Astyanax mexicanus: one gene and its partners. The protein of the gene in region 4 interacts with the protein of the main gene of each other region in a pairwise test. Links are inferred from orthologs where the notes say so. Each region holds a gene or a part of one and is shown on either strand. Other genes may lie near its edges. The genes, in order: cpne7, fbxw5, ammecr1 and adamtsl4.

Evidence for each region.
Region 1: the proteins of adamtsl4 (region 4) and cpne7 interact in binary tests that used the Homo sapiens proteins (3 or more experiments, as listed by UniProt). The two-hybrid records come from large-scale screens. The link is inferred for Astyanax mexicanus from reciprocal best matches to the Homo sapiens genes ADAMTSL4 and CPNE7.
Region 2: the proteins of adamtsl4 (region 4) and fbxw5 interact in binary tests that used the Homo sapiens proteins (3 or more experiments, as listed by UniProt). The two-hybrid records come from large-scale screens. The link is inferred for Astyanax mexicanus from reciprocal best matches to the Homo sapiens genes ADAMTSL4 and FBXW5.
Region 3: the proteins of adamtsl4 (region 4) and ammecr1 interact in binary tests that used the Homo sapiens proteins (3 or more experiments, as listed by UniProt). The two-hybrid records come from large-scale screens. The link is inferred for Astyanax mexicanus from reciprocal best matches to the Homo sapiens genes ADAMTSL4 and AMMECR1.

What each region holds. Positions count from the first base shown.
Region 1 is NC_064423.1:36,516,983-36,523,956, reverse strand, and holds the start of cpne7 (copine-7), read right to left. Parts: upstream 3,031-6,974; 5' UTR 2,900-3,030; intron 1-2,899. UniProt on the Homo sapiens protein: Calcium-dependent phospholipid-binding protein that may play a role in calcium-mediated intracellular processes.
Region 2 is NC_064408.1:19,868,374-19,876,172, reverse strand, and holds the start of fbxw5 (F-box/WD repeat-containing protein 5), read right to left. Parts: upstream 3,024-7,799; 5' UTR 2,920-3,023; intron 613-2,919; 5' UTR 604-612; coding exon 417-603; intron 169-416; coding exon 11-168; intron 1-10. UniProt on the Homo sapiens protein: Substrate recognition component of both SCF (SKP1-CUL1-F-box protein) and DCX (DDB1-CUL4-X-box) E3 ubiquitin-protein ligase complexes.
Region 3 is NC_064424.1:19,971,458-19,979,451, forward strand, and holds the start of ammecr1 (AMME syndrome candidate gene 1 protein), read right to left. Parts: upstream 3,009-7,994; 5' UTR 1,960-3,008; coding exon 1,487-1,959; intron 1-1,486.
Region 4 is NC_064413.1:29,579,666-29,587,160, reverse strand, and holds the start of adamtsl4 (thrombospondin type-1 domain-containing protein 4), read right to left. Parts: upstream 3,002-7,495; 5' UTR 2,627-3,001; coding exon 2,604-2,626; intron 1-2,603. UniProt on the Homo sapiens protein: Positive regulation of apoptosis. May facilitate FBN1 microfibril biogenesis.

The DNA of each region.
Region 1 (6,974 bases), on a different chromosome or scaffold from region 4:
TGCAGCTCACCCACTGACTTTAATACAGTATTAACCGGGCAAATCCTTTATTTCACTTGACATTAAAACCGCACTGTTCTCTTACACAGAGCAGGCTGGCATTTCTCTGTGTCTACCACCTGAAAGAGTGAGTACACCCTCATAAATCTCCTTGAAGATGAACGAGATCGGATCAACAAGCACTAAAACAAAGCCTGAAAGCCTGAAATAATAGGAAACGCAGCAAATGATCCAAAGAGGCTGCATCTTTCAGCACCACTGGGCATATGAACAGCTCTCCGAGCCCAGATCGAGTTCAGTTAAAGGTACAATAAGTGTTTTTTTATTCAAAATACCAGAGTAATGAATGGCATACAAAATGAATGTTACCAGACAATATAAATCACTGAACCTCACATTGTAACAGGTTGTGAGGGTACAAGGCAATTAATGGGTTGTAAAATGCCTTTCTTTGTCACTAAAAGAAAATATATCTGTAGGAAAATACTACATACTGCACCTTTAAGCTAGAAAAGTTTAAATACATAGATTTGGGGCTGATCCTTGGGAAAACACCTTCAAAACTTGTGCATAAACAGCATTTGTGCTGTTAAAGTTAATATCAAACATATTGGAACATTTTCTAAATGCCAGAGGAACCAAACTACAAAAGATCTGACTCATCTGATTTATGATTGACGACAAACAATACACACATACACACATACACACACAAAGAGAGAGAGAGAGAGAGAGAGAGAGAACTATTCTAAGCTACCACTAAGGCTTATTAGTGCTTAGATAATCTGTTTTTCAATTTAATTCAGTTCACACTTTATTCAAATTATCCGATATTGTCCGATAAAAATGTATTATTGTTTATTTAAAAATCTATGTAGCTGCTTTGGATAATTTTTTTAATTCAAATTTTTATCCCATTTTCTCCCCAATTTACAAGGTCAATTACCCAACCAACTCAATCTATCTATCTATCTATCTATCTAGTAATGTAATTCATCAGCTCACAGACACCTGGTGCTGATCCACATCACCCTAGGAGTGATGAGGGGGAAGAGCGCCATCTACTGTACTCCCCGGTAGCCGATGGCAAGCTGCATGAACAGGATTCGAACCTGCAATGTCCGCTTTAGGTTAATTTGTCATAAAAACAATAATATTTTAATAGGTCGGGTTGATTGTATCATTACAACATTAGTCCACTGAAAGTCTCGATAAATCTTTTACCATAACTGAAATTTCCCTCAATGAATTGCTGTCGAATAGAGTAAATTTGAACTGGAAACTGAATTGAATTGACCTTTTTCAATTCTAATATTTTATTTTATTTTATTTTATTCCATTTACTCAGTGCCTGTTCATATGAAGTACCCCATCACTATCAATGCCTCAAACATTTGCAATTGCAGGGAGAAAACTCCGGGGCTGAGATTTAGTTTAGTTTAATTTAGTTTTTGCCCCCCTCCCCAAGCAACAATTTTTTTTAAATGATGTCTGAACAAATCTCTGAACCAATCACGAAAAAGCATTGTGCTGTGCAACATGAAGATTATTTCTTTGCTTATTTCTGATTGGCTCTTTTGAGTCATATAAAAGCAGCAGGCTGTTTGGAGAAGTTCATTCAGAGACGTTCTGGTTCAGTACGACAGGTCCTGTCAGTGTGATCATGAGAAACATGGATACATAAGGGCAAATTAAACATGAATGTTTCATTCAATAGGTATACGCAGTAGGAAACCCTATAATGCGTCGTTTTCTGTTGAAGACACATGCAACATTTTAATTTATTTACTTCATGCATCAAATTAGCCAGTATCATTAGCTCTGGCTTTAAAATATGACTATCAACATGCCCACCTATTATGTTCTACTGCCCCCCCAACAAAAGCAACAAGCCTCATTTCCAACCTCTGTTGATGCAGCATCACTGGGTAGCCAGCACTCGGAGGAAAGCGCAGGATCCCCAGATCTGATACATCATCTAACTGACTGTGCCAACCAGCATCACAATGAGAGTGATGTGCGGAGAGTGTGCCACCTACTGTACCCACCCAGAGAGAGCATAAGCCAACTGTGCTCTCTCTGACTCTGGCTGCTGATGCCAAACAGCAGAGTTTGGTGTCAGAATTATGTCAGAAAGTGACAGCATCTTATTCTGTTAGACGTCTCGAAGCCCCTGAGATCAATCTTTAAAATGTTAGACAAAAGCAAAGCCATAATAATTTATGTGGGTTCAGTTTTCATGTAAACTCTATTTTGTTCAGTAATGGTTGGTTGAGTGTTGCTTGTACATTTACAACATAATTTTTCTGACAATCCCTTTTTATATCCCTAAAATGGACTGAATTTAATCTAATCTAAACGGAAGTTGAATCAGAAACTGAATTTAAACTACTGAAAAGATATTAAAGCTACAACATTAGTCATCTTTTGCTCATTCATTCTACTAACCCACCCATCACCATTCAGCACATTCAACACACTGCACTGTATACAGAACCTCAGAAAATATGATTGAACCCAGCCCACACCTTCATCATCATCACCATCATCATTACTATTAGCTCACAGTGAATGCTTTACTGCTCGTCTTCCTAAAGAAGTGGAAAGTTGAAAAACCTGAATAAGATTTTAGCTGCACGTGGCAAAGCTTAGACATGCACAAAGCCCAATCAATAAAACACATACATCCCATAATAATATTATTTTTAATTATAATATTATTAATCATAATTTTAGTAATAAAAGCTGCAGTAAATTGCTGCTTATTGCTTCCTCCATACAAAGGCAAGCAACAGATCTGATAAAGTCAGTGACCAAGACTCATCACTTCACCGTCAAAAACGATAATAAACACGCTGAACTCACGAGCCCGCAGCTCCAGAGCGCTCGCGCCTCTTACCTGTTTCCCTGGCGCACTTGTTTCCCCAGTGTTTCCAGTGTGTTTCCTCCGGCTGCGCCTGCTACAAATATTATTTCCCAAACTGATGTGCAGCTGAGAGCAGAGGAAGAGCAGGAGAGGGAAGGATGGGTGGAGAGAGAGAGAGAGAGAGAGAGAGAGAGAGAGAGAGAGAGAGAGAGAGAGAGAGAGAGAATGGGAAAGAGAGAGAGAGAGAGAGAGAGAGAGAGAGAGAGAGAGAGAGAGAGAGAGAATGGGGAAGAGAGAGAGAGAGAAAAATTGTTGATATTTCTTTTCCCACCCATATTCCACCCCATTAGCCCGAGATTGTCTTTGAAACCCCGCCCCCCCACGCTAGGATTAGCTACTCACAAGATATTCTCCAATCAGAGTACAGATGGGCGGGGCTAGTGAGAGTATGGGTGGTTGAAGAGAGATAAAAGCGAGTGAGGTGAGTGAAAGATGCTCAGAAAGCTGAAGATGGTGCTTTGGATAATGATAGTGATGTTAATACTAAAATATGAAACAAAAAATAAACAATATGCAGCAAAACAAGACATTCCAGACTAATATCAGAATTATAGTTTTGCTTGATTGCATATAATACAGTAGAAATGCACTTTTTTGTGGCATCTATATAAACAAGTCTGTAAAAAAAGAAAAAAAAAGAGACCACTTAAACCAAGCTGAACTGCTTGAATTTTTGCACCAGCAGCGGCATAAAAATATCTAAAAGCAGTGTGTAAGACTGGTGGAGGAGAACATGCCAAGATGCATGAAAACTGTAATTTAAAACCAGGGTTATTTAGGGTTATTTCTGAACTCCTAAAACATGAGAATTGTTCTTTCCAAATGAATACGAATTTGTTTTCTTTGCATAATTTAAGGTCTAAAAGCTCTGTACCTTTTTCATTTTTTTGACAATTTCTTATTTTATGCAAATAAATGCCCTAAATGACAAAATGTTTATAGGAAATGTTTGGAGAGAAGTTTATACAATAAAACCCCAATATACCAGATATATATATATATATATATATATCTGGTACAAAATAAGAGACCACTTCAAAATAATCAGTTACTCTGTTATGTGTAACAAAATACTTTTTTGTTAGCAAGAAAAGAGCATGAGTCCCAGTTGCATATTACACATGAATACTATAAGGTATATACTATATACTAATCATAATAGTGCAGGTTTGGTTTGGCAGGTAAGAAGAAAGAATATCAATGTATTAACCTGTTTTGTATTAACAGGAAGTGATCTCTTTAAAATTATATTTCATGCAAAGACACAAACACATTTAAAACAACACAACATTAGCTATTGATAATGTAACCTCTCATCACTGAAGCTCAGGGGAAAAAGACAATCTCTGGGCATTTAAACAACGTTCGTCAATAACTAAACAAAACAAAATTGCTTCTAAATGTCAGTGGCTGTGCCTTCTAACGAATGCAATCAGCTATTTTAAGTTATATCCATGGGAGACACAGATGTGCAAATGTATACACACACCAAGCTTGTGGGTGTGTCGAAATATGATGGATAAAGCCCCAGCATTGGAATTGTGTTCTCTGGAATGATGGAGCTCCATCAAATTATTTTGGATGACTTGAATTGGGGAGTTGGGGAGTTGGGGATTAAGTGGGCAGTTCACAGCATTTGTCCAAAATCTAGAAGTAATCTAATAGTCTTTTCTGGATAGTAAAGACCAGAGACTGTAAAAAAGATGGACGCCATGTCGCCGCTCCCATTCATTCAATGAAAATGGAGCCAAAATTTTCCGCCATGTTGGCGATCCTGAAACCCGAGTCTGTGCAGTAGAGACCAGAGGAGGGAGAAAGACTGTGGAGAGACAGCCTACTCATTAAAATAACCCCGCCCCTGAGGGCTGCCTCCACAGAGCTATACACACTCTATAGTCCCGCCCATACAGTCATTGGTCCCACCCTGGCTAGGTGTTACCCAGCCCTTTTACACACCAATAACAACACCTTTTTGAATAGAGCTGAATAACGTTTTAAAATATGAATTCTGTAGGGATATAAAAATCTGACAATATAAGCAGAGGTTACACTAGCTGTTGCATTTAAATAATGGCGGTAGAATTACAGTATATTGGAGGAAAAACGTGATTGAAAGTTGTCTGTTTTGCCATTGAAAACTATGGGGATGGGTGGGCTTACACAGCTTTCTGCAACCGAACAGCAGGGGGCGCCCGACCTGTGGTGGCTTCACTTTTGAGAGACAATGCTCTGTCCAGCTATACACAGTCTATGGTAAAGACAGTTACTCCAACAAAAGCAGAATAAACTTATTTTAATATAATTGATTTCAGAAGCAACAGTAAAAGAGCAGGTGTCCCATTACATTTGTCCATATAGAGTATATATGTGCAAGTCTGTTTATACAGTAATTCACCACTGGAATCGCATAGGAATGCACCACTTTAGTTTTTTCTCGCCTCTCATGCCTTTTCTTTCTCCTGCTCTCATCAAATCACAGCAGCTCACAAGCTGTCTCTCACTTTCCCCACAGCGCCTGCAGTCATTTGCAGCTGCTCCACACCAGAATTGGACGAGATGGCTTTTCTGTTTCCTCCTCAGCACTTTATAGTCCGTAAATGACTACTCTCTTTAACATAAGAGATGCTAAATATGGTGCTTTGGAGAGCTGCCACAGAAGAACCACTTTTGGTTGCCTGAAGAACGGTTCTTACAAAAACGATCCTTTATGATGAGCAAGTGGGGACAACCTGTTTTAAATATCCTCCACATAATGCAAAGTTCTCCCCCCGATTTAGCTGTGCCAATTAACCCACCCACTTATATGAACCACCCTTCATAAATGCAGTGCCTCCAACACAAGTGACACACGTGAAGTCAAACTCTGCCTCTTTTCCAACTTCTGCCAATGCAGCATCACCATGCAGTTCTGATCGCCAGCTCTGATACATAAGCACACAGACGCCCACGGACGTCATTTGGGGTGGGGACCTGTCCCCTGCAGTTTTTACGGTTAAAATCCAATGTCACACTATATTAAATAGAGATGGATCAGGCGCTAGGACCAAGCAGAAAACAACCACTCAAGCGGAAGCCAGTTTCCCTTTAGACCACCCACAAGCTCATGGACTGGCTCTGCTGCTTCTTGCTAACGTGTCATTGGTCGCCGCGGTTGAAGAAAAAGTTGCTTTGATTTGTGATTTCAAAAATATGATGTTAACAGGTGATTTGCAATTACCAGTAGCAGTATCAACTAAAAGTCTCTACACTGTTAGCTTAAGTCATAGACTGTATATAGCTGGAAAGAGCATCGTCTCTTAAAAGTGAAGCCACCACAGGTCGGGCGCCCCCTGCTGTTCGGCTGCAGAAAGCTGTGTAACTCCACCCATCTCTATAGGTTTCAATGGCAAAACAGACAACTTTCAATCACGTTTTTTTCTAATATACTGTAATTCTACCTCCATTATTTAAATGCAACAGCTAGTTTAACCTCTGCTTATATTGTCAAATTTTTATATCCCCACAGAATTCGGCGACACGCCGTCCATCTTTTTTTACAGTCTCTGGCTTAAGTTAAGCTGAATTTACTTAAAAAAAAATGTAGTAAACCGGTTGCCTTAAAAAAATTTAATAATGGGGAATTTAAACTTGAGTTAGCATAAATTAAAACATCAAGTTAATACAACTAAAGGGGAAGTTGACTTATTTCTAAGGTAGCGCAGGGGGGAATCACTACACACTGATGGTGAGTGTCAGAAACTCAGAACCTGTTGGACACACCCAGTATGCAAATAGATTGTGACAGAAGCCAATAGAAAAAAAGCTGTTAATGGCAACAGACTAAACTCAGTTATTATATATAAGTTGGTTCAACTCAAAGATCTCAGTTTGAATGTGCAGTATATGTGCACACAAAAGTTGAGTATTGTTTAGAAATGTTAAATGTTATGTAAAACAGACTTAAATCATTTGAGTTTAAACAACTTCTGAGTTACAGTGTAAGAGGCAAAGATGAGCGGCATCCATCAAATCACTTCAATACTTTTGGGATGAGTCACTGAATTCAGCG
Region 2 (7,799 bases), on a different chromosome or scaffold from region 4:
AGAATCTTACCTTGACAGTGCAGTCTTTGGAACATGACGAGAAACGGTGTCCACGGTGAGAAAAGGCCAGGTGTAGGACCTGGTCATGATGTTCCCTCAGTGTCTGTACCTCTACGCATGGGATGCAGTCATACAGCCTTTTAAATTCCCTGTACCATGACACAGCCGCTGCAGAAAAAAAAACATAGAAAAAATTATGGTCCTTAACTACATTTTTTGTTCTCTTTGATAACAGGCCTAAGCCCCATGTTCCAACTTTCGTTGACTACCTCTTTTTTTTGTTAAAAAAATTAGGATATATTCACTGCAGATCAAGCATGAATGTGTATAATAATTCATAACAATTTTAAAATAGTAATATTATCTAGAATGTTAAAATAAATGCAAAGGCAGTGCAATATTTCTATCTGCAGTACCTGGGTGGCGGGGCACAGTGCGTGGGATGCGGTAGTAGCTGTAGAAAAGCTCCCTCCACAAGAACTCATCCCGAGATACAGCAAACCACTGCCGGCATGCCAGGCCAGCCCTCAGCACCGCAGCATGGGGAAGATGCAAGAAGATCTCCAGCACCAGGCTGTCTGGCAGGCCAGGACCATTCTCCATCCTGACATCCTGAGGGAGAAGCACAAACATCATCCTCCATTAGTTTTGGCAGTATTACTTACATTCTTGGTCCTGTACAATCAGCTCTATAGACTAGAAATCAAAACAGCACCTCTACTACCTGAGAAGACTAAGAAACGTTTTGGATATTTTAGAAAAGAGATAGAGATATAGAAATATACACACACAGTTTGTCTAGCCCTGTAGAAAAGAACTGTCAACAGAATCACTCTTTGGCGCAAATAAGCATAAATCTATAGACACTATGTCTATAGCCAGGTGTGGGCTAGAAGGATATAAAGCCCCCCAGTATTGAACTGTAGATTTTTGCTCTCTCGAATGATGGTGCCCCAATAATTTTAGGAAGAGTTCAGGAGATAAGGATGTGGTGGGATGGGGTTGCGTGTTTGTAACGATCATCCAACATTCGGACCTTACTAATGTTCCTGCTGCTTAATGCAATCAAATCCTTTAAGCAATACTCCAAAATCTAGTACTAAGACTTAATTAAACAGTAGAGACATTTGATCTAAAGTTTTTTTTTTCTACAGCAATGATTAGGAAACAATTAATGTGTCCCAAAGTCCTCCCAATACATAAAAAACACTGGCACCAGCCCACGTTTCCAATCTGTTCATTCAATAAATCAATTCTGTTATAGTAAATTTAATTTTATGCAACTGCTTACTGGACAATCACTATAAAATCAAATGTATCCTGTGGCAACTAAGAAAAAACTAAGGAAGTTTAACAGGGACTGGTAGTACTATTCTAAACAGACCCATCAAGATCATTTTCTAGGTGCAACATGACCACTTGCAAACATAGAAACTTCCAGATCATTTTCTCCCTTTCTAAATAAAGCAGAGGCAAGCCATAGCTCAGTGCATACATGCAGCTGCTTACAGAAGTAGTTAACCTACTAGTTTTTGTTTTACAGAGCTACTAATCGAAGTTTTAAGAACGCTAATCTAAGTTTTAAGAAAGGTTTATATGATGTATTAAAAGGTCCTTTCTAATTAAGAATATGTTCCCTTAGCATAATAAGATATCACATAGACAGGTGGATAGAAAGACAGAGAGATACCTTTACAGCATGTTGCCTCAGTAAAAAAAAAATCTGTTACCATAATTTAACAACCAATTCCTCTAGTGCAGTGGTTCTCAAACTGTGATAAGTGTATCAGTGGTGATGTATGAAAAACACTAAGGAGCTATATACCACCAAGTAAACTTTTTAATTTATCAGCAACTGAGTATTAGATCTAGGTATTAATTTAAGTATTAGATTAGTTCTAACCTCAATTTAATCGGTTTTCTAAATCCGCAGGCTGCAGAGCATCAAGTGCAAAACTACAAGACTGAGAAACAGCTTAATTCCAGAAGCTGTAAGACTCTTAAACTCCACCTAGCCAACACACTGCACTGACACTCTACAATGACAATTACATATTTAAAATTACACTGACACTTTAACCGCACAGTGACACTTTATTATTTTAAACTGTTCTTGCAGGTTGAGTATGGGAATAGTTAAATCAAATAACAACTGACAATTTAAGGGGAATATTTTAAGACTCTAGACAACTATAAAAAATAATATTTTTAGGTAATTATACCTATATAATATCTATCTTTGGGTTTACTACATTTCTATTTAAGCTAGTAAAAGTAGTTTACTGTGATACATCTATTTTATGCAATTACTCACTGGACAATTACTATAAAATCTAATGAATCCTGTGGCAACTAAAGAAACTCATAGACTTTAACGGGCTCTGGTAGTGCTATTTTAAACAGACTCATCAATGACAATGTCTTGGTGTAACAAGTAGATTAACCACTTTTGTAAGCAGATTTACTAGCTAACTTACTAACCAACTGAGTGATGAGAAACGTACAACGTTAAACAAACTTAACTAACCCTAGATCATCTTAGCTATAAACTCCATATGGAGATTATCGCTAGTTACCAAGGTTAACGTCCTTACCTACAGGCTGAAAGCCAGATATAACTTGTATTAAAGTATATTAAAATGTAGGACAAGTGTTAGAACATAAGTATTAGCTAGTTAAACCGCGTTAACTCTTTTAACCTGCTAATTTTCAGCGTTTTGTGTGTGGAGAGAATCAGCTTTCAGTGGAACTCGCTAAAAACAGAGCTAGGCTAGCTCTAGCTGGCTAAAGGGGTAACCGCTAAAGCTAACCTGATTATGTTGGGCAGCTCATAAACAGAGATTAAAACGCGCTACAGACACAGTTCAGGATTTATACTCTTCACACAGACAGTCAGTACTCCGCTCCACCGAGTCTTACCTGTCAAACCCCAGAGTTATGGAGCAAAACGAGAAAGTGTAGCCAATATCCGAGAACACCGGCTAACCGCCTAGCTCCGCTCCCAGACCTCACCAGCCGAGCGCCAGAAAACTGATAGAAAGGTGAGTAATCAGGCAAAGACTAATCAATACCCGATCACTACGATAGATATCTGTTATCTGACACTGCGCAGTTCCGCTATATTCCATTACTCCTTCTCCTTCTCCACGGGAATAATCCAGATCATCTGGGAAAGCGAACCCACTCTTATAAAGAGGAAAACCATGCTGTGCTGATTAATAATGAGCGGTAAGTTCAGACAATATTCAGTTTACCATTCATTCCTAACCTCTCATTCTTTAGTAACTTTAATTTAAGTGATGTTTCTGTATGACATAATATATGACATATAGCTAATTACAGGTAAAAAAAAAAAAAACGCCTAAAGAATTTTACTCTGGAAGAAAAACAGGAATAAACATTCAAATGATTAAAAAAAACAAAAACACTTTTAAATAAAATATAATTTAATGTTTAAGTAATATAACTAACAAGTTACTTTCTAATGTGTTATACTAGGATTTGGCCACAAGGCAATACAGTGGAGTTTCTGAATGACATATAGCTATATCTAACTAGGTAATGTGATATGATTTAAAATGACAGCTATTAAGCTTCTCTATTTTTCTAAATATTTGTAAATTTTTAATTTGTTTACCACAAGTGCTTCTCCACAGGTAAAATAAAGTGCCTAAAGAATTTTACAATGGGAGAAAAAACAGAAATAAACATTTAGATGATTAAAAATTACTTTAAAATAATAAAAAAATAAGATAGAAATAGAAATAAAACGTAAGGTTCTCAGTGTATTATAGCTAATAGGGTGTGGCCACAAGGCAATACTCTCACTGACAAAAAGAAAACCATTTAAAATAAATTATATAATTTAATGATTCAGTAATTTAACTAAAATGTTACTTATGGTTCCTAATGTGTTATAATAGGATGTGGCCACAAGACAGTAGTGGACTCTCTGTACGAAATATAACTATATCTAATTAGGTAATGTGATATCTAGGTAATGTGATATAATAATAAAAAAAAAGCTTTACTATTTTTCCTAAATATTTGTACATTTTAAACATTTAAAAGATCACCACAAGTGGAAACTACTCCACTGTTAAAACCTAGTTAGCAGGTTAAAGTATCTATCTATCTAAAGAAAGTACCTAAATAAATTTACACTGGGGGAAAAACAGGAATAAATAATCAGATGATTAAAAAGCACTTATATAAAAATAATGAAATGATTCAGTAAAATAACTAACAAGTTACTTAAGGTACCCAATGTGTTCAAATAGGGTGTGGCCAAAAGGCAATACAGTCATTGACAATAAAAAATAAAAATAAACATAAAGATGATTAAGAAAAACACACTTTTATATAAAAAATGAATCAATGGTTCAGTAGTATAACTAAAGTTACTTTAAGTTCCCAATGTAATATAATAGGAAGTGGCCACACAAAAAAAAACACTTTTAAATAATAAATAAATCAAATTGTTTTGTGGCTTTGTTCTAAGTAAACTGCATCACCTTTCATTGTCATTTATTTATTTATTTTTCAATATATGTTTTAGATTTTTCGTTATCTGTATGTTCGGGTAGGGTTGTAAGTTAGAGGGGCATGTTTAATTCTAGTCCCTGTTAATACCCTTCTCCTGTTAAACAGTTCAATAAATATATATTTAAAAAAATAAATAAATCAATGAATCAATAATATTCTTACTTAAAACTCCTAATATGTTAAAATAGGCTGTGCCCAAAGGTAGTACACTCACTGCCTCATTAAAAAAACAGAAATAAATATAAAAATTATAAAAAACTTTCAAATAAAAAATAAATAAATGGTTCAGTTTTATAATTAGCAAGTTACCTTAGGTTCCCAATGTGTTATAATAGGGTGTGGCCACAATAGAGTGGAGTTTCCGTATGAAATATAGCTATAGCTAACTAGGTAATGGGAGATATATATATATATATATATTTCTTATAGCATTTTCGTTGTCTCTTTGTTTGGGTTGAGTTGTAAGGAAGGGGGGCATTTAAGATTTATATGTGCTATTTGGGAGAAACGGTTTAATTCTATACCCTGTTTATATTCTTCTCCTATTAAAAGTTCAATAAATATTAACATTATAAAACATTATATAAAAAAAAGAAATTAATTATTCAGTAAAATAAAAAAAAATGAATAAACTTTCAGATGAAAAAAAATGCTTTTAAATTAAAAATAAACCAAATTGGTTAGTGGCTTCATTCAATGTAAACTGCATAACTTTTATGGTCTTTTTATTTTTGGTATTATTATTAGTTTAGTTAGTTCGATATCAGTGTATTATTTTATGGCAACTACGAAGTGCATTTGTGTCCTCAATATATTATGTTGTGCCCACACATTAGGGGGCAGATATATTATTATATTATATTATTAAGGAGTTGTTACTCCATTGTAAGCTTGTCAAGTCAACTAATATGTAAAATGAATCACATGGTTATGTATGCGTTCTGCTATCAGGACTTTGCTACCTGTGGGAAAAGCTGGCTGGCTGCTGCAGACCCACAGGAAGTCCAGTCACAAACACAGGATGACACAGTAACCGTACGTATGCCAAAAACCTTACAATCACATGAACTCATATTTCCAAGTTACCCATTACTGATTCAGTGACTACGGGAAAATGACACGCATATGTGTTTTTTGACTCCTCAGAGCAGCAAGTGTTGTCAGCATGGGAAAACCCCCCGCCAAGCCAGCAATCACCACCAGCCAGTACACTGCCTGTTGTAGCGGCTCAGTGGTTTAATACCTGGTGCTAATTGAGATGTTGAAATATTTTTTAATTGGGCGCCAGTTATTAAATTAATTTAATTAGATCAATTAATTAATTAATTAATTAATTAATTAATCAAATTAATTAATAACACAAGACATCTCAGGGTGTGGTTTCTACAGGTGACAGAAATTTTCATAACCAAGTTATCCAGAAAAACACACTGAAATGACAGGTTTTGTAAAATAAAAGTATTTATTAAATCACACAGATATGAGTAAATAATTCATTAAAAAGTCATAAATGTAGCCATTAGCTATCAAATCATAGTGTAGAATGATAAATGAGAAATAAAAGAACAAACACGTTATAATGCTGATATGAAAGGAATAAAGATTAATATAACTATTAAGTGAGTATTTCTAAATAAGGGTCTAAGGCATTTTAAGTCTACGAAACCAATTCTTATTTCCAACCAAGCCACTCAAAATGAGTCATCTATACTAAAGACGCTCTATTAAAGACCCGACCAAACCATGACCAACAGACACCATCTGCCGAAAGATTAAACCCAGCTCTGCCTTACTCTGAGTTGTTGAAGTGAGCCTTGGTGACGTCCGCCTGGGTTGGTCGTCTGCTGCTTCACCCCGAAAAAGGATCACGTGAGCCTGTCTGCAGGGTGGGTGGACTTCCTGTGTCAGCACGGAGCCCCAGTAGAACCCACAGGGTAAATCCCTTCGCTCTCAGGTGGCTTGCTGGTGGCCTCCGGACCGCAGGTTTCTGGGTTGGATCTGGCGGATCTCCTTTTCAGCTGTACTTTAGCTAAACTTAGATGGAATAATGCTTGGCTTCGTAGATTGTAAAATAACCTTAGATATTTTAACTAGGATAGCTAATATTAATATACTTGAAGATTAAATGCACTAGTCTAAGAAAACTAACTTAAGATGACTAAACTAACGGTCTATCCTTTCTCCATCTCTGGCTCCCTAACCTCTCTCCTCTAACTGTTTTCCTCAACTCATCTTCTCCAACTCCTTCTCTAACTGCTTCTCCTCCAACTGCTCTGACCTGAACTCCCAAAACTCAACTGGCAACTGAACTAAAACTGTGTCTGCCCAGTTTACTATTAGTCTCTGTGGCCTGTTTGGCCCCTGAGCTATGATTGGCCCTGTGGCCCAAATGTCTGTGTTTTGATTGGTCTAGGAGCAATTTCAAACTTTGGTGGGGATTCACAAAGGGCCATAAACCCCCCCTCCTCACATGGTCAACATGCTTCAGCATTTTTCTAATAGATCAAACCAAAAGAAAACTCAATTAAACAGTGGATCAAAATACCTTTTTCAGCATATCAGTTTGTGAGGATAAATTCAGGAAACAAACAATCTTACAATTGAATCACAATAAATGTAATATATATATATTTTGCCCACAAACAGTTTTGTAATACTCAAGATAATCTTAGGAATACAATGATGGATGGTACTCTGTCAGAAAGAGATCAAGAGTCATGTTATTATTTAAACCCAATTAAATCACTTAAAAGATAATACATGGTTAAACCACTGATAACCAAATAAAGCTAAATTATCAAATGCTAGTTAAACCTTGTTGATTCAGACTTGAATGTGTAGGAGAATTTAATCAGGACACATCCAAACACATATACCATTATCTAGTAAACATTCTATAAAACACCTTTTTTATATAGTCAATATATATGTATTTTAAGCAAAATCTTCTCAGTGAGAAATTCCTCTTCTCTGCTGAGTGTTTAGATAAGCGGCTGTCGTCGGAATTTACGACCGTGGGGGAAGTTGGTGAAGTTGGTGTTGGGAATGTAATTTCCAAGCTAAGAGCATTCATTTTAACTTCATGAATCTTATTTCTAAGTGGTTGCAGAAAGCACAAACCCCTAAATTGGTATAATATATTTGGTGAATTTACAATTTCCAAGGCATTCATTAAGTTTTGAACCCTCTCTCAAGTCCCGTAGTCCCGTCCTTGTCCTGGTGATTGTGCTGTTGGCAAAACCACAATTGTGCAC
Region 3 (7,994 bases), on a different chromosome or scaffold from region 4:
AAATTAAATACATTTAAAGGCAAATGTTTGTGTACTGCTACTCAAGTGGAGGTCTAAACGGATCCATATTTGCTGGAGTCATATTTTACCTATGTTAACTAGTCAACCTACCTTAGGTTGTTATCTACCTCTATTTTAACTTGAATAGCAAGCAAACAACATGGTCTGGGTGATTCGTCCACCAATGTGCTGGCTAGTGTTAACCCAGCTAACGCTACCGAACAAAGCAGCAAAAACTGACCGGTCACTCATTCGCGCTACAGTGATGTTTATTTGCAGGGTTAGCTTTCGCAGACTGGACATGTCCTTAAATTAAGTAATTGGGTTTGCTAATAACTAACCTCAACCACCCAAATTAATATAAGCAGAGAAACGCCAATTAAGCCTAGCTGGAAATATGCTAGGGAGTCGACTTTAAAACTACACTGCTCTGCTGTTAAAGGCACCGTAAACAACTCCGGCTTTGTTAGCTAACCAATCTAGCGCTAGCTAGCTAAGCTAGCCAATGACTGCTAGATGCACACCTAGATAAATAGATAGACAGCTAAAGCGCTTGGCTGTTTTTAGCCGACATTATGCTTGACAAAAACAAGCCAGCCAAAGGAACTAATTATAAACGTGGAAAGAACTGGTGTCGAAATTCTGTGTAATTTCAGGAATTTCACTGGCAAGTGAGCTAGCTGGCTAATATTCGTGGCTAGCCGAACAAGCTTAGCTAACGTGTGCAGCTTGGTTAGCTAGCTAGCGTAGCTAACGGGTTCATAATTCAGTTCACTGTAAAACATCACCCAACAGAGCGTTAGCAAGAGCACACAAAAGAGACACACATAAACTACCGTATGTTTGATAACAATCCAGTTATTTACCTACGTGTTTTTGAAATTTGTTTGACCGTATTTATAGTATAAGAAACCCACACTAACCCAGAGAATTAGCTTTAGCTGAAATAAAGTGGGACGCTCGGCCAGTGTATCTGATAAAAAATTAATCCGGACTAAGTTGGCTAACCGCTAGCTAGCATTAAACCCGTAAGCTCACACCAGTCAGTGTTTTCGTGGTAAATAGTCCAGCTACTTGAAGTTCATTCAAACAACAGCGGCTTTAGTAAATAAAGGAACTCGGGCACTTTTTTCTCCTTCCTTAGGCGACGAGTTGATTGAAGTTAGATAGGTTACTTTTTTAGAGAAATATCTAAAACTACAAATGTTTTCAATCGTAGCCACCTACTTAGCTAACTCTATCTGAACACAAAAGTTGAAAGTTACCAGGGAAATACATTTAAGCATTTGGTAGTTAATAAAGTAGCAAGAAAATATAGGTTAATGGTGACTCGTGTCAGTGTTTACTGAAAAGCAGGCAAGACTCCTTAGCTAAACTACTTCAAGTCATATTTCTTTAGGCTTCTTTAGGTTGACAAAGACCGAGAACATCACTACTTAGCTGCTATTTTAGCCAGTTAAGCTAACTTAGCCATCCCGCTACTTACTAGGGGTCGTTTGTAAACCTGGGTGTTCGGGGAGGCTGGTATCCGTATAGATGGCAATAAAGCACGTCGAAGCAGAAGCAACACATCTCCGCCGACACTACCATCTTCCTGGCCCCGCTTCCAGAGCCAGGACCGGGGCTGAGGTTCGGAGAGAGGCCGGTAGAGTTGTAGCCTCCCGGAGTTGGGGACAGAGCGGTGGAGTTGCCGCTGCTGCCTCCTCCTCCGCCGCCGCTGCTGCCGCCGCTACCCCCAGGACCCCCCAGGCCGTTCACCCGATTCACGCTGCCGGCCACCACGGTGGAGGAGGACCCGATCCCCAAGTCCGATCCGCAGTGTCCGGCCCCTGCCACCCCGCTCCCCGCCCCGCCGGGCCCCCCCGAGCCGGGGGATCCCGACAACTTCTGCTTCTTCACCCCGCAGCACCCGGCCGCCATCTTCGAACAATCTGCACCGACACACCGCTTCCGACCCATCACCGTCACCGCGGGAAGGGCGGGGGGAAACGCCGACCACACGTAAAAGTCCCACTGCGTCAGGGCGTACGACGGACGATGCTCCACCTTTCCCTCCTCCTTCTTTCCTCTTCCCTCCTCCTCCCGCTCCCGTCCGACGAGCGGCGTAGCTAGCGAGCTAACACCCGGAGTAGTTTGACTGGGGGGGGGGGCGGTGGGGCGGAGAGCTGAGGGGGGGCTGTAGGGAGTTAGGTTAACTAGGGAGTGTGCGGGAAAGTGTGTGGGACTACGAACGAACGCACCACGCACGCAGAGGAGAGCCTCTGCAATGTCACCCGAGCTTCTCCAACGGCCGTATCGTACGCTGCGGTCGTACGCAATGTCCGTAAGCAGGCGGCCAGCCAGCTGCGAACCTCTGCAAAGCCAACGACGCTTGGACGGAGCCGCGGTGTTCGCAGTGTTTGTTGATGGGGGCAGCGGCAGCAGGCCCCTCGCCGCTGCAGCTCGCAACACGAGTCTCTGTCAAAGCGCGCAGACATCCACAGTGTGCAAAAAACAAACAGGCAAAAAAGGGCGTGGAAGTCGAGAGTCGAGAGGCTTCAGGACGCGGCGGAGCAGGAGCAGGACCAGCGTCCACCGTCCCCTTCTCTCTAGCTAGCTGTCTCCCCGGTCCACCTCCCTCCCTTCCTTAACAGCACAGACACAGCGCAGCTTCCCGTGTGGAAATGGGGGGCTTTTTTGAGTACGCAGGACCCATACGGCTCGCTACGCCCCGGCTAGTGCTTTCTTTTTATCGGTTGTTTACTTGCATCCGACCTTGGCTAGCCAGCCAGCTAGCTAGAAAGAGTCGGCCGGCCGGCTTCTTCCTCCTCCTCTCCCTCTGGAAGGATATATAGAAAGGCTCCGAATAGCACAAGTTATCCGCAGCTAGGATGGCGCTTTCTTTTTTTCAGGCACCGCTGCAGTTCGGCTTTTTTGACAGCGCCAGAGAGACGCAGAGAGTCATTTCATCTGCGCGAAAGCCCAGCGAAACACCGGCCGTCCCCTCAATGCGCAGTAGCCTCGCTATTACACCCACCTCCCCCTGGCTCACCCCCGGCTCACCCCCACCTTCACCCCCAGCTACGGCTCTTTTTACAGTAACCCCACCAGCACTGCGAGAAGCAGACTGAGCAAACTGGAAAGTTTTCTCTCCACGGCTTTTAACGTTGCCATCCGTTTATTAGGGCACATTTTTTTGCTTTTGTTTTGAACGGCTCGAGACAGAAGTCCCCGTCCATCAGAAGTCTCCGGACGCTCTCCCCCCAGCCGCACGTGCTCGCTAGTCCAGTCCCAGCGACTGACATGAAAGCCCGGTTGCAGTTTAGCTAACGTTAGGTTAATGTGGAGGAGGCGAGGAGGAGGAGGGGGAGAAAGAGGGTCCTAGCTATGCGACCAACCCGAAGCGTATTCAAGAGCCGTATTCACTTCGTGCACGCCGAACCCAGAATCCAGAAGAGAACGTAACTAGTTTACGCACACTTCGTAGCTACGCATCTTGCGTATTCTTCGCAGCTCCGCGAATCTGTATTCTCAATCTCGGCTACGTGAGAATTAAAAGGAAAAAATGCTGAGGCAGAATCCTCTCACGGAGCCGTTGTTTTCTTCACTCAACGATTTGTCATGTAACGTTAACAGTCTTCATTTAGTGAAGTCTTCATCTGTTCTTGCCCATCTTCATCCTATAGTGGAGAAAGAGACAGAGAGAGAGAGAGAGCAGGTCAGGAGGAGGAAAAGGAAAAAGCTAGCTAAGCTATCTATTAGCTCCAACCGACACACAGCCAAATGTGTGCTCAGCACCCAGCGACTGACTGAACAGGGAGGATGTCCTGGCGTGTTCTCCCTATTCATTCAAATACCCCCAGTCTAGCAAAATGTCAGCAGCCTACACACAACATCATTCATTATTATTCACCAGAGCTCACAGGACACCAAGGTAGGCTGCAGCTCTTTCTCGTCACAGGAAACCTGGAGCTCCTCATCTCGAAATCTTCTTTCTTTTAAGTGAAGATATTTTGACTTTCTCTTGGGTCATTTACACAAGGCTAAAATATCAAATCCAAGACCAAATCTAAGAAATACATTTGTTCGCCATCCAAAAAACACATTAAGAACCTTTCCTTGAAGTTTTCCTTGCCTTATCAGTGTTTTCTCAGCTCTAATATCGAAGGTTAGGGTTGACACATTCTTGACATCAAACATGCCTGCAAATTACTGAGAAGAATCCAGAAGTATGTAGACCAGGGCAAGTCAGCTTTTGCCAGTGAAGATGTTTGGGTTGGCCCTATAAAAAAGTTAATGTAACCAACACCCTCATACAATGAGAAAATGCAGATAATACAATAAAATTTTTACAGCTAATCGCACAGCTCATTGAAAGGAGAACTCCACATTTTTCTTGAAAGTGAGATGGCAGAGCTGGAATTTATGTCACACACTTGATGTTCCAGTTAAACACTGCAAAATATTCTGTATTTTACACATGCAAACACAATTAATCTGTCCACAGACAGTTAGACAGTTATTTATGTATGAGACACAAATACATAAAGGTGCTAAGAAACTGAATAACACTACTACTTTTATTACGGTTGATGTACCATGCAGCCATCTTGGATTCTGAACACTGTGTTGGTGAGGCTCTCACAGCTTTCAGAGTAGAACATCCAGAGTAGAAAGTCTCTCTGGATAACAACTTCAATCAAATGCCCTAGGTGTATTTATACTCCCAAAATGAATACATATGTCAGGTTTAAATTATATAACATTTACTGCCCACATACGTTAGTGAGTCTTTTATGTTGGCATTAGGCAGTACGTGCAAAAAGGAGCATCAGAGTCATTGGTGGATTTGGATTCTAAATAAAATGGCTATATTTATGTTTAAATAAAGCATGGACATTATGTTTAATGGATGGATTTGTTGGACTCATTTGCTTTTTAGGACACAAGAACATAAATTACAAAATCACATTACAGTTAAATGTTAAACATTTAATATACCGCTTTAAAAAATAAGAGAGCACTTAACAATGATTTTCTTAGATTTTTACCAACTTGAAAACCTCTGGAATATAATCAAGAGGAAAATGGATGATGACAGCCATCAAACCAAGCTAAACTGCTTGAATTTTGAACCAGGAGTGCCATAAAGTTATCCAAAAGCAGTGTGTAAGACTGATAGAGGAAGACATGCCAAACACCAGGGTTTTCTGAACTCTTAAAACTTTATGAATAGGAACTTGTTTTCTTTGAATTATCTGATCGGTTATTTCAGCCACCTCATTTTCTGCAAATAAATGCTCAAAATGACTATAATTTTATTTGGAATTTGGGGGAAAGGTTGTCCGTAGTTTAGAGAATACTACTCAATTTTAATCAAACATGTACCTATAAAAGCAAAATAAGAGAAACTTATTCAGAAACTGAATTAGTCTCATAATTTTTTTCCAGAGCTGTACAATAGTTACACTGATCAGTCAATATTACCATCTCCTTGTTTATACGTATATTCTATTTATTCTGTCTATTTTATCAGCTTGACTGACCATATATATGGAACTTTGTAGTTCCATAATTACATGATGTTATAGGAGCCCAGGACCGCCGGCCACAGAGCAGGTATTAGTTAGGTGATCATTCTCAGCACTGCAGTGACACCTATGTGTCCTTGCTGCACTGAGAAGTCCACCAACCAGAACCAACTCGTCCTGTGACCACTGATAAAGGACTAGAGGATAACCAACACAACCTGTGCAGAAACCGATGATCATCTAGGTAGGAGTGTATAAAAGAATGAACAGTGAGTGGACACTGTTTAAAAATTCCAGCAGCACTGCTGTGTTTGATCCATTCGTACCAGAACAAAACTAACGAATACACCACCACCATAGTGGCTGAGAATAACTGGCCACCCAAACAATACTTGCACTGTGGTGATCCTGTGGAGACCTGACCAGTAAAGAACAGAGTGAAAGGGGGATACTAAAGTATGCAAAGAAACAGAAGGACTATAGTCTATAATTCCCCTAATAACTACAAAGGTTTCTATAGGGTCAGTGGAGCTGATATACAATATGGACAATGAGTGCAGAGGTGGTGTTAATGTTATGGCTTATCAGTCTTCAAGTGAAATGATGATCTGCATGGACCACACTTAAGACATCCCCAGAATGCGCTGACGGCAGAATCACTAAAACGTGCTCATACCTTCAAAAAAAGCAATTAGGATTATACCATTTCCAGGATATGCTGCTGATGCCTGAATCAGTGCTGTAAATGGATGACACTGGTGTTTCTTATAGCTGAGCTCAGCACTGAGGATTGAGGGCAACAGGTTAAAACTGAACACACTGAGGCAGCCTCCAAGCCACAGGGCACCTTCAGGTCTTTCATAAAAGTGATATTTCACAGTGTAACCCAAGCCTGTCCCTGCTGCATGTGCTGATTTGCTGGGGGTAGCAAGTTCATCAGGACAAAACATGGATATACGCCTTTGTCAGTGTGTAAATTTAGTGGACATGGATTGAGCTAGAGGCAGCACTAAAAGCATAATACCGTATAATAAACCCTGTAATTTATTCTTTATGTGGCATTGATTCAAAATACAAACACAACAGAACAGCAAATTATGTTATTTAATGACCAGTCAATGGGGAGCCAGACCTAATTACAGGTAAACACAGCAAGACATAAGTAAAAGCTGCACAGCAAGAGATGTGCCGTTGATGGTTATGTTAAATTAATTAGAGGTCAAACTATTCTGACTGGCCAAACAAACACAATCTCTCCTTTCAGAAAATTTTACAAGCTTAGTTTTCCAAAATGTACAGAAACTGCCATATATCTTCACAGAATTATTGTACTTGGTTTATCAGTTAATCTTAGGCCCTGTCCACATGTAAGTTTTAGGTGACTGAAAACAGAACATTTTTAAAATGCTCTTCAAGGTGTTTTATGCAAATGCGTCACAACTCATGCATGTTTCTGTCTATATCTCAAATTAATTGTTGCTCCCTATATTGTGAACATTTGCACAAAGAAAGTTCTAGATTTGAACATATGACTAAATGTAAATACTGTTCAATTACAAATACATGATGCTCTAATTCGATTTAAATCATAATCATAATTTAATGAAAATGAAAACTACATGAACTGCAGTTTTACTGATAAAACATTACACTTAATGGAACTTTACACAAATTGTGAATCCAGTCAAAAACTCCACTGCTTCTGGTCCTTTTGGCAGAGCTGTTAACGCATTGAAGGTGGTTTGTGGGGCTTGGGCAAACATAAGTGTGGCAGGTCTACCAACTGAGTAGGTTAAGTCTCAGACTCTGGTTGCAGATTAGATAACATGGCAGACAATTTATGTTTATTTCTACGGAACAGAGGAAAGCATCTGTACTTTCCACACCAAAGGATCTAGTGATGTTTAAATCCAACAGATTGCAAGGGTGGCCTGATGACTGTAGAATCATTTTTTATTATGAAGATGGAATCTAAACATAGTTACAGAAACTTGGTGACCCAAGAATGCAGTCTTCTGTATCTGTCCTTGGAACTGTTCTGCTGCTAGAACGGTGCTCATTGCTCCTCACTGTGCACTGGGACTCTCCCTGCAAGATGACGCAAGTGTATCAAAGCTCCAGCTTAATTATGCAGTCATCAAACTTCCAAGGTAAATGAAATGCAGCATAATCAGACACAAACCTTCCAATAGACATTTGCATGCATTGTATGTAACATTTTCACAAAAGAAGCCTATGATTACACCACCAGGTCAATTTCACAGTGATATGTGCAAACTATCATCTGTTTTAAATGAACTTGTAAATAAGCAGGGCTAAAGTGTCATGGGCTGAATTTGTGTAGCTACAGGTAAATACATAGGGGTTTGTGGCCACAAAAACAATTAAATTAACTCAAAATGGGCTGTTATTAAGTTATTAAATCACAAACAAAAGAAACACACGTCTGAGTCTTAACTAAAAAAAAAAGAAAGAAAAACAGGA
Region 4 (7,495 bases):
ACTGCCAGGAAGGAAATTCACATTATATACTGTAAATTAAATCTTAAATGCTGGGATACACGATAATGAGACCAAAAAATGGAAAGCATTCTTAAGGAAAAAAATGGAAGAAATGCACATACAGGAAATGTTAGACAACACTACATATCCAACTAAGTGCTCTCAAACAAATGTGAGGAAATGAAAGTTGAACCACACCACTTAGGCGCTGCCTAAATAACATCCTAAAAACTGAGAATCAGAACAAGAAGGGGGCAATACAAACAGACCAACACATTAAAGGACCTACAGAGTTAACTGGCTGACAACAATCAACAATATAAAGAAGTGTGGATATCTGTCTGTATGTCTGTAATGAAAGGCATTACTCAAGAATACACCAAAGAAATGCTAGAGTGGATTTGTTTTATATGGGATTTTGTGGTCAGATGAGACCTTAATTTACCTTATTTTAAAACGCCATGTGAACCAGAGTGCCCACTGCCCAACAACCACTATCCCAAAAGTGTTGTGGTGAACTGGGAATCTTGTTAGGACAGATGGATGTATGTATGATGTAAAAACAGCATGCAGATCTTTATGCCATGCTGAAAAAAAAAGAACCTGGCCATCTTAAGCTGGTTAAGCTGGTTGACCAGCCTATATCTTGACCAGCATAGGTATGTTTGAGTTTTATGATTTATCAGACCCAAAAGCATGAACCACCTGACCAAGATAGACATCCAGCATGACCAGCAAAACCAAATCTGTCGACCAGCATGAACAGCATGGCAAAGCATGACTAAAAACAAATCCATCATGTACTCAGCTAGTCAAGAGGTGGTCAACCAGCTTGTTTACCAGTATATACACTGCCTGGCCTAAAAAAGTGATCTGGGGTTGCTGCAGTTGGTCAGGTATAGGTTCAGCAACAGTATGTGATGAAAGAATGAAGTCAGCTGACTACTTGAATATATCAATTGATTTTTTTTTCTTCCCTGATGGCACAAGCATATTCCAGAATTCATGGGGCTGGAGTTGTGAAAGAGTGGTTTAGGGAAAACAGTGGTTCAGGGAGCATCGAGATCATTTCATTTTCCGACCAGGCAGTGTAGTATGGTTCAGTCTAGATAAGAAGCTTTTCAACCAGCTTAACCACCATATACCAGATTAGATCATCTGAAACCAGCTACCAGCATCCCATACACACAAAAACAAGGCACATAACAATAGAAGGACCAACCAACCTACTGTACTGTACATCCCAGCACACACACCCACTTAAAACAATATAGAAACCACTATACACCACAACATACTCATAAGCCCTACCCGGACGGGATTCGTTTCTCAGGGGGACGTCTGTGAAAAATATTTAACATTTCTACTCCGGACTGAAATTGAAAAGACAGGAGGATCAATTAGTTTTTTGGCTTTCTCGGTCACAAGACATCGTGTTCAGTAGCTCCTCCATTTCCACTTGCTGTTGTGTTTACGTGGATCTATGTGCGTCCAAACTGTAATCACGTTGCGTGGCAGTAGACAAATAACTATTTTATTAAACGCGTGATTTAATTAAAATCACAGAGGACCCCCCATAAAAGAGAAAATCCCCCCAATACCCCCTGAGAAACTAATCCCGTCCAGATAGGGCTTTAGAAATTCAACAATAAGCATGCCTTCATTCAGCACCTTATCATAAATACATAAAGACAACAACACACACTACAACAGACCCCCACCACCGCTGCTTCTGAGGTCCACCTGCTCTGCACAGGTTGGAGTTTTCCAGCTGTGCGGACACAAACCTCTAGACCACAGCTCTGGAGCTGGAGGTAAACACTGGCCCAGACCCATCTCAGCAGATGTGTGTCCTCCTGAGTGTAAACTCAGCTCAGTGCCCAGACCCTACCCCTGACCACTGTTCCTCCATCTCCTCCAACCCGTCCTGCAGAACTTCTGCTGCTTATTTGTCCATCAAACCATGAGCTAATCACTTCAGACACTGAGGGGTTTTCGTGTTATTCTAAGTCATGCATCTGCGGATTCGGTTCGACCCCCCAAATCGGCGCGGTGCAGTCTGCGTGCAGCCGCAGCGGAACGTAATGGGACGCTGCACAAAAACCATAATTGCTGCGCGCCACCGCGGAAACCCCAACGAAAACAGCGCCGGACAGCGGCACAAAAAGCTCCCGGGGAGAGCGAGGGGAGGGGAAGGGCAAGGGGGCACTGAGACCTTCTTCACCACGCAGCCAGCCAGCCCTAAAAACCCACCAACCCACCCCTCCATCGCCTTATCCATCCGTGCCTGCCCATGCGGTCGCTACAGTGGAGCTATAGCTTTGGAAAACGGTGAAAAGGCGCGTGAAGGAGGCACTTGCTGAAATTAACGCACAAACGAGACTTTTTATTGGTCTAAAAAAACACAATGTGTGAGAAACTGTGTATACAGGGGAAAAACGAAGCACGTGGGCCAAAAAAAGCTGGTGTACTGAAAAATGACACCAAAACACACCGAAAAACACGAGACTGAAGTTTGTTAATATTGCTGGAGGCATTAACCTCCAACGTAACCAGACTAAACAGCGCTAATAATAACGTTAAACCCACACACAGGGGCTTACCTGCACACAGACCCAGGCCACATTCTCTTTTTCTTTTTTTCACTCTTTCTTCCTCTTTATCACTTCTCTCTCTTTTCCTCCCTCTGAATTTCTCCCTCTCTTCTCCTTACAGAGCTGCTCGCGCTGTATTGAACCCCAATCAGGTTTCTTACTGCTTCCAAATCCGGATTCAAGCACGAAGTGAAACTGTGTCCAAAACTCTGTCCAACTTTTTTTTCTTTTTTCCTCTCTCTCTCTCTCTCTCTCTCTCTCTCTCTCTCTCTCTCTTTCTCTCTCTCTCTCACACACACACACACACACACATACACACTCACTCTCTCCCTCTGCACACTGACTCTCTCTCTCTTTCTCTCGTACACTCGGACTCTCTCTCTCTCTCTCTCTTTCCTCTGTCACTTTGCCTCTCCCTCTGGCTGAGTCACACACATTCGCACACACACAACACACACACACGCCCCCCACCCCCTACTCAGGGGTAAGAGAGGGGTGGGCCACTTTTTTTCATTTCTGTCGTTTAACCAACTTTTCCTTTTTGTCCTTGTGGAGAAGTGGTGTGACGTTGGACAGCAGGGGGGCCTAAAGGGGTTGGAGAGTGAAGGGGCTGGAGAGTGTGTGGATTACACAACTGCACACACGTGCACACACACTCTTAAGTGTGTATTCCTATCTAATGTGTCTCTGTGGGGTGTTTTCACGTGCATGCTCTTGTATTATTTCTGTTCTATTTGTTGTTACTTTAGCTTCTGTGTGGAAGGTTGCCCATGAAAAGCAGCCAGGTGTTCCCCACAACATCCAAATGTTCATATTTTCATTTTTTCAGGTTGGCACATAGACATCCTATTTTCATATAAAAACTTTGGCAGTGTAATAGGAGGTGCTAGAGAGCACAGTGAACCCCATATACACCTGGTCTCTTTATGAATTTTGGGTATCAGGATTATATCTAAATGAGGCCATGCCATATAAAAATACAAACGTAAACACACCCAAAACAGATTAAAACAGACACAAATCTGATCACTTAAACCACTTCAGGAGGAGGTCCAAGTCCCAGTTCTTACCTATCATTAACATATCCTGGGTGATCCGATTACAGACGATTGCTAAAACCTATAGCTGTTCACACCTGCCATTTTAAATGCTTCTCCTGTGACCAGCAGATATCAGATTTCCCACATCATTTCTACTGAAAAAGTTTACAATAAGACTCTTAATTCTTTGCATAAGAAATAGACGAGGCACTTAGTTCACTTGCACACCGGTCACAAGTATTGCTTTAATCCAAGTCATGCTAACTATACACTAAAAAACGTTGAAAAGACTAGAATAAATTTGAATTGATTAAAGTCAAGACAAGACAAGACACCACAGAATGCGCTTGCCTTGCTGCTTGCTGTAGCTCTCCTGTTGGCTGTTAAAATTGTTTACGTCACTATTCGTTGAGCCAAGTCAAGAACACGGTTAAACACAGTTGATTTTATCTGAACGCCAGTATGAGAAAAAGACTGACTTAAACCTTCAATCCTAACCACCTTACACTGAATGTTCAAGATGACACAACCGCAAATCTACTCTAGAAAGACTCTCATGATTTTATTCAGACACTGGATATTTGTCTATGACAGTGAACTCCCTTGAAAATTTGTTTGGTGTAATGTATGCATTACCTAACTAGCTAACTTGTGTAGACGGTGTGGCCTCTGGTATTATATATGTTCTGCCATTGGCAATGGCATGGTTTACGCGGCTAGTGCTTTGCTGTCAGGAACGCATTGAAATTCTTTAAGAATACTAGAATAATGTGTATAATATGTGTCTCTGACTACCTCTAAATATGGTTTGAGTGATCAGATTACAGTGCATGCTCGAAACATCTCACCTCTACTTTGTGCTGTCCACTTATGATCGGATTACCCAGGACATTGTTAATGCAAGGTGTGAATGGAGTTTATGACGCATTTGAGCCATGTTATAACAGTGTAAACGCATCCATCTCTAAAAGCCACATTCAACAACCGAAACACGTCCTAGTACAAACGAAACCCCTCCCCATGTAGTATATAATTTGGCATGTGATTCGTGTCTGTGAGAAAGATCATCATTGAGGACAACAGCATATAAAATCATGCACAATGTCACGTAAAATTTGTCAATTTTAAGCAACAATTAAAATATTGTCCATCTATCTGGACATGAATTTGACTCGTACGTAAATGTATGTGGTTAAAATTTTATCATAATACAACACAGATATTAGTTACATGAAGTGACCAAGTGAAAACAGGGTCAGTGACTTTAAACATAGCACTGTAGCAGAATTCTAAGATTGGCCACAAGTCAGATCATGAAATTCTACCATGCTAGAGCTGCCCTGTTCAACTATGAGTGCTAATATTGTGAAACAGAAATGTGGAGAAAAAACAACAGCTCAGACATGAAGTGGTAGACAATGCAAACTCTCATGTACAGTGTAAATATCTAATATATCTATCTTGGTCTGTATCATTCCAAACCAGTTGCATCACTCAATATCAATTCCAACCTGTCACTGAAGGCAACTTCATTTTCGTCAGAGCCTTATGAAAGAGCCTTTCCCATGACTGAGCTGCATGCTGGATGCCTAAGATCATCACCATGTGCAAAGCAAGTGGTAAAAGGCTGCAGTGACATACAATGAACCAGAAACTGAGCAGTGTTATCCAGACTGATAAATTGCTCTTCAGTGTCGAACGCCTCTGTTGGCTTGTTGCAGTAAGATGTGTAGCAATGCTCATCCCCACATGTTTAAATAACAAAAAAGAACATTTATTTCTAATTCCATCTCCAGTGTCTAATTACAACAGTTGGTTTTCCCTGTGCTAATGAAGGCAAAATTTTCTCATTCCTCACAAATCAGTTTTTACTGATTTTGAGGAACAGTTATTACACTGTATCATGATTGATACAGTCTTCTGCATTATTAGATGGAGTAGCTGAGTTGTGGTTGAGCTGTCAGGCAACTAGTATTCATAATGTTATTGATTACATGGTGTTGTGATATGTGGTCACTTTGGAAAATGTTTTTTTTTTGTAGGTGGAAAATGTTTTTTGATGAGTCTTATGTTAGTATAAAATTATGATAAAAACATGATCTTATTACTTGATAACCAGTCAGCTAACATTAATGTAGTTAGACATGCTGAACTCTGTAGTATCTGTTCTCTGCCAAGAATCTAATCACATTTATTTTCTGGTGTCCAAATACCATAAAAAATTGCAATGTATTTTCTTTTTTTTTTGTAAATTATACCTGGTGTGTGCTGACTTTGTTGCAGCAGCTCAGGTAGTAGCCTGTCTCAGTAGCAACCAGATATTAACTGTACTGTATTTTAAAGGAACTGCACTGTTGGAACTGTTGGAACATTAAAATCCACTTTGCTTCTGGTTCCTTAACTCAATGAAGGCAGTCTGAGACAAGCTCGGTCTGGGAGAAGGGTGTGGGTCTAAAAAATAAGTAGGCATAACTGGCCCTAACTTTGGTCTCTTCATCACAGACACGTTTGTCTTTATTGCTATAAAACGGAATATACTGGAATCTCAGTGTCCATGTTTTGTACAGTCTTTGGTTCCACCAGTAAAGTCTGATGAAGGGTGGATGATGATTTAGGGCTGATTCTCAGTGATTGGTTTCTTAGTTACAATGTGAAACTTAGATACAAATACTTTTCTCATTATTATTTGCTTCCAGCTCTGTGGCAACAGTATAAGGAATAGTTTCCTGTTCCACTGTGACTCTGTCCCTGTGCACAGAATGAGGTCTATAACGACATGGTTTGACGAGTGTGGTGTGGAGAAACTCCAGTGACCGGCACACAGCCCTGACCTCAACCTCTGCGAATACCTCTGGGATGAAGTAGTTAGTGTTACAGCTTTGTTAGGGGCTCAGATTTGTTTTTATTCCACTTAATTCCTTCACCAGGCAGGCATGCATGCACACACACACACATTCACACACTCACACTTACACACACAGCTCTCCACACTATACTGAACTGGCAGATTTAACCATGCCATAGGATGCATTTATTGTTTTAAGCTGCTGTATGATGTATAAATAGCAAGTATATGATGCTGGCTTGGACAAAAACTGCTTTGATATGAACAACTTAAAACCTTGTTATTTTGTGTTTACAGCACTGGTGATGGGTCACAGAAGCAGGAGATATAAATACCTAGGCGCTGCATTGTCTGCTTTGGCCTGCTGCTGCAATATGTCAACATGTCCACGGTACTGGTCCATGCAAGACAGGCCTGTAAAAAAACTAAGGAAGCTGCATTTATTTCTGATTAAAAACATAAAAACTGCACATTTATCAACCGGTTTTAATGAGTTGCTATATTATATAAGGGTTTTTAATCTACAGCCCTAGACCACTTCAGTATCTGAATCAGTTTATCTGATTTTGCTATGTACAGGTATATGTTTAAGTAAAATGAACATTGGTGTTTTATTCTATAAACTTTGGACAACATTTCTCCCAAATTCCAAATAAAAATATTGTCATTTAGAGCATTTATTTGCCGAAAATAAGAAATGATTTTTAAATCACATTTTTTATGCATCTTGTCATGTTCTCCTCCACCAGTCTTACACACTGCTTATGGATAACTTTATGCCATTCCCGGTGCAACAATTCAAACAGTTCAGCTTGGATTGATGGTTTGTGATCATCCAGAGGTTTTCAACCATCTTCTTCTTGATTATATTCCAGAGGTTTTTAATTTGGTAAAATAAAAGAAACTTATATTGTGGAAATTGTTTTTTTCTATGAACTTCCCCATAATTTTTGTATTTTTTGTGCTCTAGGTCAGAACAAAGTTAATTCACTTCGAATTATTTAAATTTATTGAAT